Macaca mulatta: one gene and its partner. The protein of the gene in region 1 purifies or fractionates together with the protein of each later gene. This does not show direct contact. Links are inferred from orthologs where the notes say so. Each region holds a gene or a part of one and is shown on either strand. Other genes may lie near its edges.

Evidence for each region. Proteins that work in one complex are often made in the same cells at the same time.
Region 2: the proteins of PFDN6 (region 1) and PFDN1 purify together in Homo sapiens (affinity purification with mass spectrometry; 6 studies listed by BioGRID and IntAct, with this or other methods). This does not show direct contact. The link is inferred for Macaca mulatta from reciprocal best matches to the Homo sapiens genes PFDN6 and PFDN1.

What each region holds. Positions count from the first base shown.
Region 1 is NC_133409.1:148,999,000-149,002,374, forward strand, and holds PFDN6 (prefoldin subunit 6), read right to left. Parts: upstream 1,855-3,375; 5' UTR 1,825-1,854; exon of another isoform or gene 1,612-1,824; 5' UTR 1,597-1,611; coding exon 1,533-1,596; intron 1,306-1,532; coding exon 1,235-1,305; intron 1,154-1,234; coding exon 1,029-1,153; intron 769-1,028; coding exon 639-768; 3' UTR 556-638; downstream 1-555. Other genes in the region: WDR46 (WD repeat-containing protein 46), read left to right, coding at 2,274-2,351, 2,449-2,658, 2,762-2,842, 2,986-3,098, 3,221-3,308. UniProt on the Homo sapiens protein: Binds specifically to cytosolic chaperonin (c-CPN) and transfers target proteins to it. Binds to nascent polypeptide chain and promotes folding in an environment in which there are many competing pathways for nonnative proteins.
Region 2 is NC_133411.1:149,161,794-149,166,039, forward strand, and holds the start of PFDN1 (prefoldin subunit 1), read right to left. Parts: upstream 2,829-4,246; 5' UTR 2,804-2,828; coding exon 2,771-2,803; intron 24-2,770; coding exon 1-23. UniProt on the Homo sapiens protein: Binds specifically to cytosolic chaperonin (c-CPN) and transfers target proteins to it. Binds to nascent polypeptide chain and promotes folding in an environment in which there are many competing pathways for nonnative proteins.

The sequences.
Region 1 (3,375 bases):
CAGTAACCTCTCTACCACTGGTCCCTTGCTGCAAATGTGTATAAAACAATTTTAGGACAAGGAAATGGCAGAACAACTTTATGGACAACATATAAACTTGGGAGGACTTATACACTACAAAGCATTACGTGCTGGGATTTTAAGTCAGTTTAAGCTACATTCAAGCAAATTCTAGGAAGACAGAGGCTGAAAAGTACCAATAGAGATGCCAGGGCTGCTGGCAAAGAGGGTAACCACATTTCATCCTGGGGCCTCAGGTTAGAGAACTGTGAATTCTTTTTCAATTGAACTGACATTCCTAGTAATACGCTATGTTGTAAATGCCCTTCCAAAATAATCATGCCAACCAAGATGAGGGAAAGTTAAGGGTTGTATATACAGGCAAGAAGTAGGTTTGAGGACATTTAGGATTTCACTTTCAAGAAAGAAAGAACATCGTGCCACAAAGAAGTTCCAAGTGCAAGAGTTTGAACCTGAGGGGGTAATACAGGTGGTGTGTGTGAAGGTGGAAGGGACTGTGGGGATATGACAGAAGCGCCTGGTCAGGAAACGGAGCCAGGTGTTTTTACATTTTATTAGCTACAGTATAGATGCTAGAGCTGCCTCATTCCCTCCCCTCCCCTCCCCCCACCAAGGGGTCAGGCCTTGCCAGGAGCCCCTGCCTTTGCCGCCTGGGCCCGCTGGAACTCCTGCTGCAGCTGAGCAAGGGTCTCCCTCTGTTGCTCTGACTGCCGCTCAAGATCCCGGAGCTGGGATTCATATCGCTTACTAAAGAGAGACAAGGGAGACAAGTAGAAAGGGAGAAATTAGTAGGACTTACTAAGGAGGGTGCTAAACGCAAGAAAGAGATAGGTGGAAAACTTGAGATTAGGGAAGGGAGAAGGGGGGTTAAAAGGGAAGGAAGGGGTTGGAGGAACTGGAGGACTAGGGGCCACTATGGAGAGCTGTTCTGCAATGGTTCAACACCTCTACTCCAATGGTTCACTGCATCACAGGGTGCAGCACACAGTGGTGGAATAAAGACTCACATTTCAGCTGTGATATAGTCCAGCCTCTTCCCTACTGTGGCCCGAGCCTCCCCCAGCTCCTGTTTGACTAGCACCGGACCCAGAAGTTTAAAGACCACGTTGGACCCATCCAGCAGGGCCAGTTCCTGATGGAGGGATGGGACATACGTGATCAGAACCATGGCTAGTACAGGTCCCTCCTCGCCCCACAAATCCCAGTCCCTCACCTCTTTCACGATATTATTTTCTGTTAGTTGTGCTTCAAGTTTCTGCCTCCCCGACATGGATTTACTCAAGTCTGGGGATAAGAGGAAAGGCAAGATTAGAAACATCAATCCTAGTCAGGTGGATATGGATCTGAGGAAGCAGAAAAAGATGGGGGCAGCGGGTCAGTGAATAGGGAAGAGTACTGAAGCGGGAAAGTCTCTGCACGCAAGGGCCCAGATGGGGCAACAAACCTTATCTCGGTAATGGCTTTGGGTTGTGAGTGCATTGGGCGAGGCCATACCGACCCTGCTCCCTTACCCTTCTGTAGCTGTTGATATTTCTCCACTTCTCCCTGCAGCTTCTTCTGGATCAGCTCCGCCATGGCGGGGATGAAAGCCTACGGGGAGCGAGACAAGGGCGCTGCGTCTCACTCTCTGGAAGGTACCTGAGCTCACTTTTCTGATCTCGCCTGCGGAAATGATAGCACTCTTGAGAGGCAGCCCTGAGGGGCACCGCCACCTCCCCCCGGTCCTGGGTATCGACTCCACCCCGTCCCCAGGATATGGTGGGCGAAACGCAAGACCGTAAGCCTCTCAACCGAAATCCTAACCTATTCACGTTCTGCTTTCAGTAGTAATAAACCCGGAAGTAAACGAGGAATGCCGGGAAAAGACTGCGCCGGAAGTTTCTTTCTGACCCTTGATGGGAAGTGTAGTTCTGACATGTTTAGCGAATGGAGTTCTGCTACAAAGACTGGACTCGGATATTTTTAGGCAAGATGGGGAAACTAACCCGGAAAAAGAAACCGCACCGCTACTTAGCCCCTGGTCCCGGGCCTGCCTTTCTTTTGTAAGTCACTCTTGCATAAGCTGCCGCTCCCGATAAGGTGCCAAGAGCTCTTCCGCCCCTCTAAGGAGAGTGTGCCCTCACTCAAGATGGCGCCTAGAGAGCTTCAGACCTGGTACGCTACTGATTGGATGAAGGATAGAGGGCTTCCGGGAGTTTTCAAGCCGACTGTGGGGCAGCTGAGAGGAGTTTTGCACGTGGATCGCCGTTCGGATGGGCGAGATGGAGACAGCCCCCAAGCCGGGCAGGGATGTCCCGCCCAAGAAAGACAAACTTCAGACCAAGAGAAAGGTATCGGCCTCCCTGGGTGGGAAAGGAAGTTTTTTGCTGCGGGGTCGGGGGGGCGGGGCGTGGGTGCGGAGTATCAGAGTTCCTGATCTGCTTGTAGAAACCGCGGCGATACTGGGAGGAAGAGACTGTTCCGACCACAGACGGAGCCTCTCCAGGGCCTCCTTGTAACAAGAAGAATCGGGAGCTCCGTCCTCAGAGACCAAAAAATGCTCACATATTAAAGAAGTCTCGGATCTCTAAGCAGCCTCAGGTCCCGAAGAAACCCCGAGAGTGGAAGAACCCGGAGTCCCAGCGGAGCTTGTCCGGGGTGAACGTGGAACCTAATGGGTGGCGAGGCAGGCCGCCTTGTGCTTTGAAAGGGTTGGGGTCAACCCAAGGCTGTCTACTAACTGCGTTCTCCTTTCCCCTAGGCCCAAGATCCATTCCCAGGCCCCGCCCCCGTCCCTGTGGAGGTGGTCCAGAAGTTCTGTCGTATTGACAAATCCCGAAAGGTGAGGTCCAGCCGGAGAGTTGGGAAGTGTTGGAGGCAGGGAGTGTCTGGGTGAGTTGAATGGAGGCTGGGCTAGGTAGCTCTCCTGTGACCCCACTTATCCTATGGTTCTTCTGCCACTCCTCCCCACCAACAATGTTATAGCTACCACGTTCTAAAGCCAAAACTCGAAGCCGACTTGAGGTGGCTGAAGCTGAGGAAGAGGAAACAAGTATCAAAGCTGCTCGTTCTGAGCTGCTGCTTGCTGAGGAACCGGGGTGAGTGGGCCCTAATCTGGACCCCCAATCCTTGCCTTATAGGACTGTCTTTTCTCGTTTTTATGTTGGTACACTTGCTTCATATTGGGAAACTTTACTGCTATCCTAACCCTTGCTTTCAGGTTTCTGGAAGGGGAGGATGGGGAAGACACAGCAAAGATATGCCAGGCTGACATTGTGGAGGCTGTGGACATTGCAAGTGCAGCCAAGGTGAGCCTGAGGAGGTAAAGGAGCCAAGGGATTGATTGGTGGTGCAGGACAAGAGAGGAATGGGGGC
Region 2 (4,246 bases), on another chromosome or scaffold:
TTGGCTTGAAGCTCTGTGAAGGCCTAATAAAAACAAGTCCATGATTTAGTAGGTTAAACATTTTACAGGAAACATTTATGTCAAATCCAAATATATTAAAACAAAACATGCTAGCCAGAGACAAAGTTGTGAAATTTACCAAATATCAATAAGTCAACATAATTGTAAACGATCAAGTCACTATACTAAATACTGAATTTACAATCATCAGAAGATACAAACAGTGTGAAGCAAAACAAATGCACATTAAATAATAACCATATTAAGAAGTATTCAAGGAGTAGTAAAAGAAATAAACGCAATAGTCAAGGATGAAACCCAGAGATTCAAAACAAGAACCATAAAAGTAATAACTCACTACATTTGTATTGCACAATTAGGTTTCAAAGCACTTTCTCACATTAGTTTGAAATATTAATATGGGAATATTAATATAAGAATATTAATGAGGAAATATAATATCTAATTTATGCCTCTCAATAATGCCATGAGTTAGCATTGGCAGTTTCATCATCCACAATTTACAAATTAAGTAACTAAATGAGTTAAGAGATAAAAGTGGCTTGCACAAGTTTGAACAACTATTAGAGGGAAAGGGAGGTGTATTTAAAGACATTTCTTCTAACCCCTTAGTTTAGCAATCTTTCCATTCCACTGTCTATAGTAATATTCATAATATGAACATTTTTAAGAGGAAGACCAAAAAGATAGAAAAAATGCAAAGCACTGGCAAAATAATTGCATCAGGCCAAATTTGACCCTTGCGTACACTTAGTTAACTGGAAAATAAACAGTTCTTGGATACTCTTGTTGAAGTGCCTGGAATGACTTTCATATGCTGTCAAATTGGTGCCTTAATAATTTGTGACTGCAATGTACAGCAAAGGTTACTACATAATTTTTATTGTGACCTTGTTTTCACCTACTAGTAAGATTTTGAAAGATTTACTTTGGAGAAGGGGAGGGGCCTGAAATGTCCTATTTGTCTCCACCCAAAAAACGGACCCTGTAACAACATTAGAAGATAAAACCTTTAAACAAGTTTTTAAATTAATCATTTGTCAAAATTATTCAGTTTAAGTTTGTAATCATTTTCTTAGTTTGCATTCACTGTCCACATTTTTCAAATGTAGCAACAAATTCAAAAGTACCAGGAGGAAAATCCATTCACTAAACCCTGATTTAAATCGGTACTTTTAATTTAAAAAAAGGTAAATTTTTAGAATGCACAATTTTGTTTTGAAATGTAAAATTTCAGGTATTATCTGACTGCTCTGTACAGCTTGCTAAGGAAGCTAGTATACCGTTAAAGATGAGCTAGTACACCGTTAAAGATGAGGGAATTCCACCTAAGAGCTAAATTTACAAGATTCAAGACAAGAACAAAAGCAAGACACAAACACATAATATCCTCAGAACCATAACAAAAGCTTCATTTGTTAGAAGCAACAGCTATTTCGGCTGTCCTATTTCTTTTGCACAAGTTGACCAGAGAGACAGTCTTAACTAAGATGTTGCTCATCTGAAGAATCCAAAATAGTGGTCAAAAAAGTGTGAGGTAGCCGGGCGCGGTGGCTTACGCCTGTAATCCCAACACTTTGGGAAGCCGAGGCGGGCAGATCACGAGGTCAGGAGATCGAGACCATCCTGGCTAACACGGTGAAACCCCGTCTCTACCAAAAATACAAAAAATTAGCCGGGCGAGGTGGCGGGCGCCTGTAGTCCCAGCTACTCTGGAGGCTGAAGCAGGAGAATGGCATGAACCCGGGAGGCGGAGCTTGCAGTGAGCCGAGATCGCGCCACTGCACTCCAGCCTGCGCCACTAGCGAGACTCTGTCTCAAAAAAAAAAAAAAAACAAAAAAGGTGTGAGGTAAGACAGAGAATACTGGATTCTAGTCCCAACCTCTGACAGACTCTTCTAGCACTGGTTCCTTTTCTAGAAAAGTAGATTTAAAATAGATAAATTCTAGAGTCCTTTCCAATCCACCCCACCGCACAAAGCATACTGGTTTGGGGTCATTAGTGGTGTTAGAATGCTGATCATTCTTAGACAGCAAAAATATGAGTAACAACACATTATAAGCAACTGAGGAAAGCAGGAAACCCAATTCCTTCTGATACCGGTTTTATTTGGAAAACTTTACTGGTTTTGTTGTTTTTTTGACAAGTCCTTCAAAAGAAGGTTTTGTTTTGTTTGTTTTTTTTTTTTTTTTTTTTTTTTTTTTGACAAGTCCTTAAAAAGAAGGGGAGGGCCCAAATCTTGAAATGAACATTGCTGTTACAATGCCTGGTTTTCCGAACTGTAGATACCGCAACCTTTCAAGGTATAGAACCGAATAAACGGCCTAAAAACAAAGGTTGGACTTGGAGTTTTTCAAAGCAAATGAGGCAGAATTACGGATGCCACAACTCAGGCAAGGGGTCCGAAGGCACCCCCATTTGAAATGCTCTCTTTGGTTCTTACTATGAAAGTGAGTCCCTGAAGCCTCCAAACGCAACGAAAGCTCTCTAGAGCTCAGAAAGACTGCACAGGCCCGAGATAGGCCCGCAGACTTACCTCACCCAAACCGGCTCCTACCCAGCAAGAGCCGCTCGCCCCCCACCCCAGTTTACGGAGACGCAGTGCGGCCTTAGGACTCTGGAAAACCATTCCCTAGTCCACTGGACCCTCCTTCCTTATGCAAGGCTCGTGCCTCACTCGATATTCTTGCCTATAGTCCCCTCAGCCTCCAAAGAGAAGGCCTCCGCCTGCCCAAGACCCTCTTTTACCTTCTTCAACTCAAGATCCACGGGGGCAGCCATGTTGGTGTATGCGCCTGCGCAGTGGGAGTTGGCCTGAAAGAGGGTGGGGGAAGGGCGCGCCTCACTTTGTGCATCCGTCCTTCTTCTGCGCCTGCGCATGAGTTGGACTAACCGGGCTTCCTACCTTTCTATGAGAATTGATTAACCCCTGAAATATTTGGGTTTCGGATTCAGTGTCTCCACTATCTGACCGGTCAGGTCTGGCTTGCTCCTCCACATCTTCCAGACATAGCCCAACGCGCAGATTTCCCATGTGGCTTTAAGCAGTTTGCCAGCTAGCTTAGTATATGCTGCTAAACTGGGATGTATGTAGATGAGGTCAAACCCTCATCAGTCGATCAGAATCCTTCAGCTAGTCGCTGTGCTGTCAGGGATCAGTAAGAATAAGTCCAGAACCTCAGGCATGACAGTTTGGGAAAGACTACCGGAAAGCTTGTCTGGAGTGTTCTTTCCAAGACGAACTTACTACTTCCAAAAGCTTCCCAAAGACTTTCTAGGCACAGTGGTTCAAAAGAGAGGCTGAATACGTTTGTTTAAAAAAAAAAAAAATGCAGGTTCTCTGGGTCTCATCTCAAACTTACTCAGAATCTTTGAGAATGGGGTCTGGAAATTTGCACTTTTGCAAACTCTCCCAGTGAGCTAATGGTGCAACTCCTCTGCGGATCACTTTTTTGAGAATCTCTGCCATAAAAGGACCTGGCATTTGAACCAGAAGAATAGATAATAATTGACTTTTGGAAATGGAAAAAAAGAAATGTTTACCTACTCTAAAAACTGTTATGCTAAGAGAAAGTGCTACATAAACAATTAGGAAATTTATTTTATTTTTTTTTTAAAAAGAGAGTGAAAGAAAGAAAGAAAAAGAAAGAGAAAGAGAGAGAAACAAAACAAACTGTTAGGGAGATGAAAGGGCAGGGAATTTGGAACCAGCCTGATCCAGATTCAAGGCTTGGTCCACCTTTAGCTTATGTCTGGTTCCATTTACTAATTGTGTGACTTTGAGCAAGTCACTTGGATATTTTGTGGTTTTGGTTTTTTGTTTTGTTTTTTGGTACGTTTGCTTGTTTGTTTGTTTTTTGAGACAGGATCTTGCTTTGTCACCCAGGCTAGAGTGCGGTGGTGCAATCGCCGCTCACTCCAGCCTCTACCTCCCGTGCTCAAGCAATCCTCCCACCTCAGCCTCCTGAGTAGCTGGGACTGCAGGCACGCGCCACCCACACCCAGCTAATTTTTGGATTTTTCGTAGAGACAGGTTTTCACCTTGTTGCCGAAGCTAGTCTCAAACTCCTGAGCTCAAACAATTCGCTCGCCTTGGTCGCCCAAAGTGCTGTAGTGCTGTGATTACAGGCTTGAGCCACCGCGCCCGGCCCTTTTTTTTTTTTTTTTTTTTTTTTTTTTTTTTTTTTTTTTTTTTTTAGCCAGGGTCTCGCTCTGTCACCCAGG